Linked DNA regions of Xenopus tropicalis. The protein of the gene in region 1 interacts with the protein of each later gene in a pairwise test. Links are inferred from orthologs where the notes say so. Each region holds a gene or a part of one and is shown in the gene's direction. Other genes may lie near its edges.

Region 1 (4,057 bases):
GCCGGGGATGCGGAAGTGCTCCGTGATTGCATATGTACGCTGTGTCGTGTACATACGCACGCCTCACATCCGCATCGGTCCGGTCGATCGCGACTAGACCGAGTCTGGCCACCCCTGGTCTAAGGTTATCTGGTGGGCCCTTGGCACCCCAGTCTGACACTGCAGTTGTCAATAAATCTGCAGTTTACTGCCTTTCTGTTCAGGGTGGGACCTAGGTGTAGACAGGCAATGCATGTGCCTTGGGGGCAGTTGTTGAAGGGTGCAGCTTGAGTGAGAGGGAGTAAGCAAGCAAACAGGGATGGGGGAGCCAGCAGAAAGCTGTGGGGTACTGCATGGACCAAGTGGCAATAGGGGTGGGTTAGGCCAGTGAGGGGCATGTGGGGGCAGCAGTACCAAAGGCACCAGTAATGCTTGGCCTGGCGCTGCCCCACTCATACCAGCTACACCCCTCTCCTCCTCTCTTTTAAAATCCTGAGGGAAAGGAAAGGTGACAAGCCTAGCCCTGGCTGAAAAACTGTGTGCCATAGCCTAGCATTCATAATAATAGTTATTAGTCCACAGCCCCCAATTGGTTAACTGCAACAAGAGGTACAAATAGTATTTATTATTATGCTACATTTCTGGGGAGCTCTCCAGTTTCAAACTAAACAAAAATGTAATTTTAGGGTAAAAAATTATCCCATTAGCCGCAGTCAGCGATCTGTCAACCAAGGAGCAACTGTGCTGCACAGAATGGGCAGAGTTGGCGTTGCCTTCTGAAGAATGCTGGGACATGTAGTTCTGCTAACAGGATTAGCACGGCACAGGAACACACACTGCACAGACACAAACACACTGCACAAACACAAACAGACACACAAACACACTGCACAGACACAAACAGACGCACAAAAACGCACAGCGTTACAAGTTCTGCCACTCGTGAGTTTCCACGTGAATCTTATGCAATGAGCTCGGCCCCGCCTCCTTCCAATCAGGCTTCGCCTTTTTTGGAATGATAAGTGCTTTCACCAATCAAAGCGGACAGAAGGCGGAACCCCATGCAGAGGGCGGGGATGTATTGACCTGCTACCAATCATCGAGGAGAAAAGGTAGGACTTTTTGGGATGCAGCCAATTGGCTTTTCGCGGGGGCGGATCCATTGCTTTGCTCACGTTGAGATCTGTGTGAAGCCGAAGTAAAGCGAAGACTGGAGAATTGAATTATAACGTCACCGGCACTTTACCGAGGGGCCAGGGACCGGAAGTACCCAAGAATCAATTAAAAATTAGGAAGCTTTCTATAAACGAATCGTGTAGGGAACAGCTGTCAGCTGCACTAGGAATTGCTGCTATCGCGCATTAGGACATATCCCGGAATGCCGGCAGATTGGTGAGTGCTATAGTTCAGCCTGAGTCCCTAGTTTAACTATAACTTGCGCTACAGCGGCTCTCTGGGAGTGCTGGGAGTTATCGTTCTGCAACCCTGGCCCCTGCATGATATGAATGGATTCCTTCTCTTTATAAGGAATATTATATGTGAGTTCTTATGTATTTCTCTGTCCTGTCTCTGCATACAGTATAAGCTTATATATCTGTGCCTGTAGCTTGTATTCTGCATGCCATATACTGTTATGGTTATTGCATTGTGCAGTATTATTAATATGGGCTGGCTAGTCCAGCGTGAATTTGGCTTACTGCAAAATATGGAGTAAGTTCCTATTAGTATATTAGCTAATGTATTGGAATATAAAATACAATCTGAACAGCTTAGGTCAGTGCTTCAAGAGGTGTAATATTGTTACATTATACTTTGCCTGAAGCAGGCACATAACTTGAAAGCTAGCATTTTTTTATTCTACTAAATTAGTCAATAATAGGTATCACTTACACTAGGTTATCTGTTTTTGATCTATGGCTAACAGGGTACAGTACCCTCTACAACACCAAATTATGTTTACTGGATTGGTATTGTATTTGTGAGTTGTAGTTCAGCAACAGCTGTCGGGCTCCAGGTTGAGCTTCTCTCATTTATCTATATGCCGCTAGATGATCTGTAGCCTACCTTTACTGCCAGCCCCTGTCTTTCCAACACCAGCGTGGTGGCATCTCCATAAGTGCTTTAATAAGCGCATTTCGATTTCCAAAGATTCTTTAAATATGGAGCCATTTACACATTATATAGAGTAATAGAATCACATAGATTCATCTTTCTTTAATAAGAGTCCCCAAACCCTTGTTCGAGTTGGCACTCCGTATTCTTATTCAGGTTTTTTATGTGCCAGTGTTATTATAATGCATCTGCTAATGGTTATTATGTCTACTTTAATATAATGGATGCATAATACATACCGACCTATGTACTAATTATCTATTATATCTAGGGTTTTCTTATTTAGTTCAGCACCCTGACTATAGCAATGTGCAGCTCTCAGCCCCAGTGCTGTGGCACTTGTGAATGTCAGCGAATGACCTATTTAAGGCTGCACATTACACGCACGGCTCTAGGCTTGTGTAACACCACATCCATAGAGAAGCAGGGCATTCAGAAAAAACAAGGCAGAGTATTGGAGTACAGGCATAAAAGCGACTGCAGATAATATCTAGTTGGCCCTTTTTTCCCCCTTCTATAAAACCCTTATTGTATTCTTGTCTTCTGCTAACTGTATTCGTTCGTCTTGTTGAGTGGTGCTTCAGTCTTCCTGCAGTTGGGGATAAGTATTGCCATATTCCTGGAACTTTGTGATTTACTGGTAATACGTCTTTTTAAGCACAAAATTATATTTGTGGAGATCAGGTATGCATAAAGAAATTGCAAAGAATACATATTTTGCTTATGGATTGTATCAGGAGTAACCACCCTAGTGATTCAAGGAGGGTTTCTAGGCATTTTGACTCGCTATAGCAACAAGTTGGCTACCACTGGTCATTATCATGCGTTGCTAAGCTGTGGGAGATGAACGGATGGTGGTGCTCATGCTGTACTCAGAAAGTGCTTAGTTACTTGTACGTACACATACTCATTGCCTGTTAATTGTCAGTATGGGAATACTGCTCTCCTAATAGGCATTTAAATAACCACTAGTGCATGGTACCGGTAGTATAAGGTTGTTAAAGGGGTAAAGTGCAGAATAGGAATAATGTGAACTACAGATGATTTCTACATCTAAGAAATTACCAAGATGGAGATGGAGAAACTAGATTATGTGTTATTTGATGAAGAGTGTTTTATCTGTATCAAATTGTCCTGTTCTTTTCATGATGCATTCTGTATCTATATATATCTACCTACCTATCTATATGTAAACTCCATTTTAAGCAAATCTCATTTCCCTGTAAAAATAAAACAGTACCTTGTGCTTGATCCTAACTAAGATACTTAATTATTTTGGGAGGCAAAACAATCCTGTTGGGGTTGTTAAATGCTTTTAGTATACTTAAAGAATGGAGATCCAAATTATAGAAAGACCCCTTATGTGTAAAACCCCAGATACCGAGCATTCTGAATAACAGGTCCCATACCTATATATGCTTCACATGTGTAACGTGTTACTTGCCTTATCTGGACCAACAATACAATGTCCTGAACCTAACGGTGGTAAAACAAATGATTTTGTATTAATACATGGGTCACAGCTTGTTTTTGTGTGAATATCCTGAAGCTACTTAAAGGACTAATGTGGAGTGTCTCCATGATTACTGGAAAGAGATAGTTGTAGTTGTTATAGGATATAGGAGTTGAATGATTGGGGGTGGGGTATTGGAGATGCTGTATTGTGTATGCATTCACCTGTGTTGCTTGTCACTGTTAGAATAGTGTCCCATATTGGTGCTGTGAGGTGATGCAGATACACACAACTGATGTTCTGCTCATCAGCTTCTTGCATAGAGGCATGCGTGATATTCATGTGATCCTTGGACATATTGTAAAGATTTTTCTGGTGCCAAAACCATACTATTCACACTCTATCAAGATTTGTATATAAGATTTTCTTTAAAATATTAGAAATACCTTCATTACAACAAATGTTGCCACTTTATGGGTTAATGGGAAGTGTAAGCTGGGTATTTAGATTTAC
Region 2 (4,321 bases), on another chromosome or scaffold:
TGGGGTGATGTGTCATTGTATGTAAGCAATTCTGTGACAATGTTTTCGAAAAGTCATAAAAAAAGCTAATTGTAGGAAAGCTTTGGGGTCTCTAAGTGCCATGTGCTTTGATAAGTCTATGCACAGTGGGCATCAAACTGTTCAGTAGACCTGTGGGGTCCATATTTAGGGTGTTTTATATGGTTACCTGTAGAAAATAAGATGCTGCAAAATGGAAGCTTTGGGGCTTGGTATTTTAGAATAGAAAGACCTATTTTGAATTCAGGTAAATGTGTACTTTCCAAAAACAAAGGGCAACCCACTCCGTTAAGAAGGGGGGTTTTTAGTTAAATATTTGGAGAGGTATTTTACAGTAAGAGCTGTGAAGTTGCGGAAATCCCTCCCTGAACCAGTAGTACTGGCTGATACATTATATAGCTTTTAGAAGGGGTTGGATGACTTTTTAGCAAGTGAGGGAATACAGGGTTATGGGAGATAGCTCTTAGTACTGGTTGATCCAGGGACTGGTCCGATTGCCATCTTGGAGTCAGGAAGGAATTTTTTCCCCTCTGAGGCAAATTAGAGAGGCTTCAGATGGGGTTTTTTGCCTTCCTCTGGATCAACTAGCAGTTAGGCAGGTTATATACTGTATAGGCATTATGGTTGAATGTGGTGGACGTATGTCTTTTTTCAACCTAACTTACTATGTTACTATGTTATAATGGCAATCAGTGAAAAAAAAAAAAAAAATTTAAATGAGTACATTAGAATGGCAAAAATGGGAAATTATTATAGGCAGGCAGAATCTATTTTTAACACAAGTTCTATTCATTATGCTAATTTTTAGCAAAGGTATACTTTCCCTTTAATATCTTTTATATAACAATGAAAAAGAAAGCAATTTTTAAAACTGGATATTTTCTTAAATTTTGTGCTCAGTGTACAACCAGTGATTAAGCGTTTGTTTTAAAATTAACATTAAGGGCAGTGACACACTGGGAGATAAGTCGCCGGGCGTCAAATCTTTGTTGTCGCAGGCAATTAATCTCCCCGCAATGCCATCCCACAGGCTAGAATGTAAATCGCCGGTGGGATGGCATACGCGGCACAGCGATTTGCCTAAGTCGCCCAAAGTTTCCTCTCAAGGCGACTTTGGCAAATTGCGGGGTCACGTATGCCTGCAACAACAGAGATTTGTAACTGATCAAAACCTCTCTTTTTTAATAACGTTTGCTGTTGTACTGACCCTTTTTTCTCTCTCAAGTTTGTATGTAAGAAAACCTAACCTAGACCATTAAATTAAATGACTGCGAAAATCGAGTTCATCAGCTGATCATGTGATTCCGTGACCCCCATTACGCTCCTCCTTCCCAGCGCCGCTAGTTTGTTGCTAGGTAGAGTGACGTCACGAGTTTCGGTGACAGCCTCTCTCAGGTTTGTTTGTTGGAATCGGCCTAAGTACTCGGTATAATCCGCCTAAATCCTACGTTTTAAGGCTTCCCGGGAGCGCGGAAGTGAAAGGAACACAGAGAGCGCTCTTTGATCTATCGTACCGGCACTATTTTATGCTCCCTAGTAGTGGATGGAAAACGTAAATTGATGGTGAAAAGTGCCCCGGGCTTTAGAGACTGATAGCTGGGGAAGGAGGAAAGGGCCTGCACGGCAGGATGGAGTTGAGAGTCGGAAACAGGTATCGGTTGGGTCGAAAGATCGGCAGCGGCTCATTCGGTGACATATATTTGGGTAAGAAGATAATTTATAAGTGTAGGACTGTTTAACATGAACCTTGGCTCTTTACCCCTTCCCCTTACGAAATGGTACAGTCTCTTCTGAGAGCTATGGGAGAGACTAAGCAATGGTACAGTCTCAGCTGAGAGCTATGGGAGAGACTAAGCAATGGTACAGTCTCAGCTGAGAGCTATGGGAGAGACTAAGCAATGCTACAGTCTCAGCTGAGAGCTATGGGAGAGACTAAGCTTGCCGCCCCACAATGTAAAGGCATACAGTAGAACAACGGGGTTTCTGCCAGCTGGGGTGTAATCCTGGCCCCAATATACTGTATTAGACCTGGGGGCTGTGGTAGGCAGCTGGCATATAGTCTGGGGGAGGAGAGGGGGGGGGGGGGGTTGATGGAAATGACACACTAAAATGGTACCTTTCTTTTTATAAGGATTTGTGTCTACTATGTGCAGGAAAGATGGTGGGTTAGAACCTTATGGGGTTATTAGACAGGCCCAGTAAGAGATTACATGTTTTACTCTAGTGTTTTGTCTTTACAATAGAGCTGATAGTGATATATTTAGTGGCAGAGTGTACTACCTCATTACTATGGAGATACAGTCCAGCCTTTCCCATCTCCAATTCTAGATCCTTGCATCTTACAATAAGATTCTTTTAAAGGGCATCTTCACCAGGCTGTTTTTAGGAGGGCTTTTAACTAAAGTACAGAGGAATATTGGAGACTGTATTTGCTTTCATTTAACCATAAGAGCATTAGTGGCACTGGTCTTGGTGTTCCCAGTCCCCCCACCATATCTAATTGGGTTGAGGTGCAGGCCAGTCAAGTTTCATCCTCATCTCAGGAAAAACATTTTTTATGGACCTCGCTTTGTGCACGGGGGTATTACATTGCTGTTACAGGACGAGGGCCTTAACCCACCAAGTAGGATGAATAGAATTGTTATTGTATGCTGTATAATTCAAGTTTGCTGTCACTGGAGCTGGGGCCCTACGCCAAACCATGAAAAACAGCCTTATGCTATACTTTACATATGCATGATATACATATAGACATGTAGTTTTTTCCTGGCATCATCCATACCCAGATTTGTCTGTCAGATTGCTATATTATAAAGTGCAATTCATCATTGCATACAATGGCACCAATGGCAGAGACCTTTATAGGCCTAGCACTGTGCATGATCATGTGTGTGGCTGCTTGTCCATAAAAACAACCCATTCTTCCGATTATAGACAAGCAGATTGGACTCGGCAATGAGTATTGCAAATTATACATATTCCTTGTGTATGGATTCAGCTGAATACTGAACTGAACATAGAAAAGGAAATTGCAGTAAATGAGGGAAAAAATGCTGATGTAGTGTGTGACCACTTTTTTTTCAATACATATGGTGTGGATCCGGTTTGGCCGAATCCTGCTAAAAATGTCTGGGATTCCAACTACCGATTCTGGTATTTGGTGCATGCCTGGTATTATAATCTGACATGTTTGTGTCCTTTTAAACCCATACGATTTCTTAAAATATAATTTTTGTGGGCAATGTAATTCCCGGCTTAAACCTTGATACTGTAGCCGAAACATTGGGTTTAGGCTCTGTCACTGGGAGTTCCCAGGGATTCTAGACGCCAAATGTGTTTTTCCTTCCTTAAAAGCCTTCCATCTACAAATGCAAATCAGTAAAATATTGAGATGTTTGTGGTATATATCAGGACTGGCTGGGGCTCTGCAGTTCATCAGGTCACCCAATGTGAACCTATCTACTGTAGCCCCCTAGGGAACTAGCTGCATCATATAAAGATAGTGTTGGGATTGGGCTGTTAAGAGCAGGCCAATAATAGAGAGAAATTATTTTGACATTTTGGTTAGAAAGGCTTCAGCAGTAGGCTGAACAATTCTGCAGCCCAGGGTAGTCTATAATATAGGTAGGTAATTGTTCTTCTAGAGACAAGTGGGTTTGTCTGTGGGGGAACCCATACATCATTTACATGTGTAGAACCCTGTATCGTTTAGCATTGTACTTCCCACTTCACCATATTGTGGTATATGACACGACAGGGCCTATTTATCATACTGTGTGAAGGCGAACAAATAAACCAGATGTCGCGTGTAAAAAATTATGTAATTTATCAAGTTGTGTATCGATTTTTAGTGACCGTGTAGCTCTGTATAATAATCCAAAAACCTAAGCACCCACTTGATATGGTAAAATATGTCTCTTTGGGGGGAGATTTTTTTTTTTGCCACAACAACTTCTGCAAGACCTTACTTGACGCTTACATTTTTCCCATTGACTGATAACACAAGGTGTGAAATAATGGAATCAATAATAATGGCGTAATTTGGCATGTCGTTCGGATGGAGTAAAATAAACCACACACCGTTTTTTTATCGTTTTACACATTATGGTAAATGGGGACCATTATGCACTTGGTTTATAATGTAAAGAGGATATTGTGTGTGTCTCTAAAAATGTCAAACTATCCCAGGACTGTAAATATATTTGTGTCCATATAACTACATGTTGTGTTCTCACCAACAGATGCATTATTAGTCACAAAGTGAGCCCTGTGGTGTCACACTGACTTATTTTGGTATAATAGC
Region 3 (4,365 bases), on another chromosome or scaffold:
ATTTTGGGAACAAGACATTTTTCACAACTATATAGTCCAGCGGTTGTCAACCTGTGGGTCGGGACCCCTTTGGGGGTCGAATAACCCTTTTTACAGGGGTCGCCTAAGAAATAACACATATTTCCGATGGTCTTAGGAATAATTTTATGGTTGGGGGTCACCACAACATGAGGAACTGTATTAAAGGAGAAGGTAAGCCTAAGTCACTTGGGGGTGCCAAAATGTTAGGCACCCCCAAGTGACTAATCGCTTACCTTCTACCCCGGGCTGGTGCCCGTTAAGAGAACAGCACCAGCCCAGGGTAGCTGCAAGCGCTTCCTTCTTCCACGCTTGCGCATTAGAGTGAAAAGCCGAACTTTAACAACAAAGTCAGCTTATCGCTCTACTGCGCATGCGCCGGCCCAGGGATTTTGCCGCAGAAGAAGGAAGCGCTCGCTACAGGTACCCCGGGCTGGTGCAGTTTTCTCCTAACAGGGGCACCAGCCCGGGGTACAAGGTAAGCGATTAATGTCCCCAAGTGACTTAGCCTTTCCTTCTTTAAAGGGTCGTGGCATTAGGAAGGTTGAGAACCATTGATATAGTAAAACCAACAGGGCACTCAGCAGTCTGTGTCCATTTCTCTATTGCATATGTGTGTATATATACATGTACTTGTATAGAGAAATAGCCTGTTTAGAAGGTATTGGGCCTAGAAAATATCACTGTAAAATAATTTTCTTATAATTGTAAAATAATAATACAAATTGCAAACTACCAATAGGCTCAATATCGTGGCACAGGGACAGGTTATTTATCCACACAAGTACTTTGTAGCCCATTGTTCCGCATAAAGCACCACAAAGCCTTATTAGCGGCTAATTCCAGCCTGTCCCCCTGTGACATGTTTATTTCGCATCCGCAGTTGCCATATATAGGGCACGTGTGGCCTGAATGACCGAAGTAGACGCGTTATATAACTGTGCAGCCGCTGAGCTACTTATAGCCGCCAGCAGGCGGCCGCGACCCTCGCAAGAAGATTAGTCAGTGTCTGGGACACGGGGGGATTAGCCGCCAATGGCGGATTAGCTGTAACTGCGGCGGACACTGACCGAACTCTCGGTCTCAAACACCCAGAAGGGCACTTTTTTTGACAACTTGCGGGAAAATAAACCAACCCCAGTCAGCCCTGTTGCCCACAATCCCCTGCGGTTGCGCGCTCACTTTTCCTCGTAACACCAAGCCGCTAGTCAACGTGACTATCCGGGTACTTGCGAGGGGCGGCCAATCTAAGGCAGAGCTCCTCCCCTATAGCTAAGGGGGCGGGGATTCGGTCACCGGCAAGTCTGCACAAATCCAGCGGAGGGTACGCGCAATAATCGGTTTTGTGTACCCGCTTACACGGGGAGCAGCAGTGCCGGTGGAAACGCCGTACGAATCCGGGTGAAGAAGGTTATATAACTACTGCGACGCGCCCAGAACGCATTCCCTCAGCGAGCACACTGCAGAAACGTGAGCTGTGATGAGACACTTGACGTTGTGGAACCAATGAGCTAGCGGAGTGTAGGAGTGGGGCGTGGCCTGAGGGATGTGTGGTGTGGTGTGGTCTGAGGCTCTATACGCACTTGGCTGAGGGAGCCGGATACGGTGGCAGGGTTTTGGGAAGGCTAACTTCTCGGTCGGTCTTTACTCCCTTTCGGAACTGCGTGGAACTGATCTACTCCTTCCCTGTACTCGCACCATGTTACAAACGTCCCTGCGGTCTTCCCATTTATTCTCACTATCTCTCCGGTGCATCCCTTCCCCACAGGGGCGCAGAGGCTGAAACAACAATTAGTGATTGCCCCCCCGTGTCTACTTTCCCCACCCCTACCCAAATTCCTGTAACATTATGACCCTGGTCTGGACTTGATCTTCATTTGAATTATTTGGTGTGGGTTTATCATTTTTTTCCCCTGATTGGAATTTTTACATTTTTTATTTTGCTGGGGTATCTGGAAAGATGGGGGTGAATGCTGTGCACTGGTTTCGGAAGGGCTTGAGACTCCATGACAACCCAGCTCTGCGGGAATGTATCCAAGGGGCTGATACTATCAGATGTGTCTATATCCTCGATCCCTGGTTTGCTGGATCTTCCAATGTGGGAATCAACAGGTGGAGGTAAGAGTGCCCGGATGGAAGTTGGTGGTTCTGTTTGTCCGTATTGGGTCAACTATCTGGGGTCAGACCCGGAATAGCAGGGCTACAATAAAATCATCCCATTCATTGTTGCTGAATTTAGCTAATAGTGATTCCTCTGGCCAAACTGAATCAAGTCATGCAACTTTAAAAACTAGAACTAAAGAGACACATTTTCCTATGTAATTTTATAGTATGGTCTGCCAAGTTTTTGTGGGAAATTCTGTAGTCATCTGAGTCCAAAAATGATGGCTTAGATGCACCCCTCCTCATTAATATGGCAATGGGAGCACCAAATATTAAGGGGAAATAAAGTGTATGTAGTCTACCACTTGTTCAGGGCTAGCTGTTTTTTTCAGGGCTAGCCGATTTTTTAGGCTAATGGGCAAGTGCTTTTTTAAGTGCCTTCTCTGTAGCTTATAGTAAACAGGGTCAATGACACTTGTCTAGGTCAGTCATTGATGTTACAAAACAACTATATGGCGGCTGTAATGGGGTTCTTCTATGTCCAGTTGGCCCCCAAGAGTTCCCTGTGATGACTTGTGGACGTTATTACAGTAGTCTAAAGGGCAAGTCTGGTGATGTTAAGTTGACCCTGGCTTGTTAGACTTTGGAAGGTATTTATGTGGTACCCAGAGTCTATAGAAAGATATGCAGTGTTCAAGAGGCTCTGCTGAAGGACTATAACCTTCATAATTATTACAATATGGCAAAATAGCACATTTACGTAATGTCTAACACCAATGTCATGTTGGGAACTGTTGCCTCAACTAGAGATACTGCTGTATCAATTCTGCTGCCTTCTAAACACGTGTATGGAAAGTATGTATTTTAGTTGGCTTGGTGCCTTAAGTTGGCTTCGTTCTTCCTTGTTTCATGTAAGCTGGCATAACATTTTCTGGTAATGGTTGTTGGTTGGCTGAAAGGAACTGGGCTCAAATAATTACATCTTTAGAAATATGCAATGTATTGTGGGGCTCATCAGGTCCCCAGACTGGGAGTCAAAATTGGCCCTGTCATTTAAAGTACACAGGCCCATACAGCACCCGTCATCAGCCCACTGAATAGTGACTGTCTATGGCATCTTATAGCAGCCCCTCTGGAATCTGCCAGAATCCACAGATTGACAGTCTGGGCCTGGCACTCATTCACAAGTGTTGAGGAATGTTGGTGGATACAGGGGGTATCATTAAGAACATGGTTCTTATTGGGTAAATATGAAATGGGACCTTAAGCTGGGCACAAGGTCAGTATAGCTGCCAACACAACTCCACACTAAGTTGGCAGCTTACTGGCTTGTGTATGGGTCCTCCTGATGACCTGCTCATTTTAAAAATCCCATTGAGCAAGTTCCTCTCCAGTGTTGGTGCTGCAGTCCTCTCCTAACAGGTCTCCTGTGGCTCCCATTATGAGCCAGTCATTTAAATCTTGTAATATGATATGGCCCAGCACTTTGGTGTCCAAATCAGGTAATGGCGACCTTGCCAGAAGAGTGGATCTTACTGTGTATGTCTAGCTTAACACTACCTCTAGGGTAGCGGTGTTCATTACATTGTGGTTTTGTGGAAACCAAGAATGCTGTCTTATTGTCTTACTTGATAAAAAAGGCTGTATTATGCCTTTTTTATTGAGCATTTACTGTAGAGCATATAGACAAATGTAAACGATTATTGTTTTGCCTGATGCACATAGATGGTATCGCAGGAGAAAATTTGCAGGCAGATGGTGTGTTTGGCCTTAAAAACACACAAATGTTGTTTCTGTGCTAAATAACTGCATATTCTTATCAGATTGCATATCCCTATGTTACCCATCATAATTCTCTATTTCTAATAAATGTGTGCATGCTTGCTTCCCCTATACAGAATCAGGCAGCTCTTTTACTATATCCATTGACGCATTGCATGACGTGCTATGTACTAAAGGCCATTCATTGTGGGAGGCTTTTGTAGGAATCCAGCAGATGCCAAGGGGGCCTTCATACATTGATCTATTTCATACATTAGTGCCATTATTGCCCTTGCTTGGAGCTTATGTAAAGGTTGAATGTACAGCAGTCTTTGTAATATATTTATTATGTTTATTTAAATAAATTATTATTATAGATGTATTTTTATGGTGGCACACATTCAGTATCTGAGACAATGAGGTGCAACAAGACCTTGGTGACTATGGAAGTTCAGGGTACAGCCGGAAGCCTGTACAATAAGG

The links. The genes of interacting proteins can lie anywhere in the genome.
Region 2: the proteins of per2 (region 1) and csnk1d interact in binary tests that used the Homo sapiens proteins (3 or more experiments, as listed by UniProt). The link is inferred for Xenopus tropicalis from reciprocal best matches to the Homo sapiens genes PER2 and CSNK1D.
Region 3: the proteins of per2 (region 1) and cry1 interact in a two-hybrid assay, tested with the Homo sapiens proteins (5 studies listed by BioGRID, with this or other methods). The link is inferred for Xenopus tropicalis from reciprocal best matches to the Homo sapiens genes PER2 and CRY1.

Annotation. Positions count from the first base shown.
Region 1 is NC_030681.2:128,121,257-128,125,313, reverse strand, and holds the start of per2 (period circadian protein homolog 2), read left to right. Parts: upstream 1-1,142; 5' UTR 1,143-1,371; intron 1,372-1,422; exon of another isoform or gene 1,423-1,517; intron 1,518-4,057. UniProt on the Homo sapiens protein: Transcriptional repressor which forms a core component of the circadian clock.
Region 2 is NC_030686.2:23,251,859-23,256,179, reverse strand, and holds the start of csnk1d (casein kinase I), read left to right. Parts: upstream 1-1,427; 5' UTR 1,428-1,646; coding exon 1,647-1,722; intron 1,723-4,321. UniProt on the Homo sapiens protein: Essential serine/threonine-protein kinase that regulates diverse cellular growth and survival processes including Wnt signaling, DNA repair and circadian rhythms. It can phosphorylate a large number of proteins.
Region 3 is NC_030679.2:15,523,268-15,527,632, forward strand, and holds the start of cry1 (cryptochrome-1), read left to right. Parts: upstream 1-1,471; 5' UTR 1,472-1,978; coding exon 1,979-2,136; intron 2,137-4,365.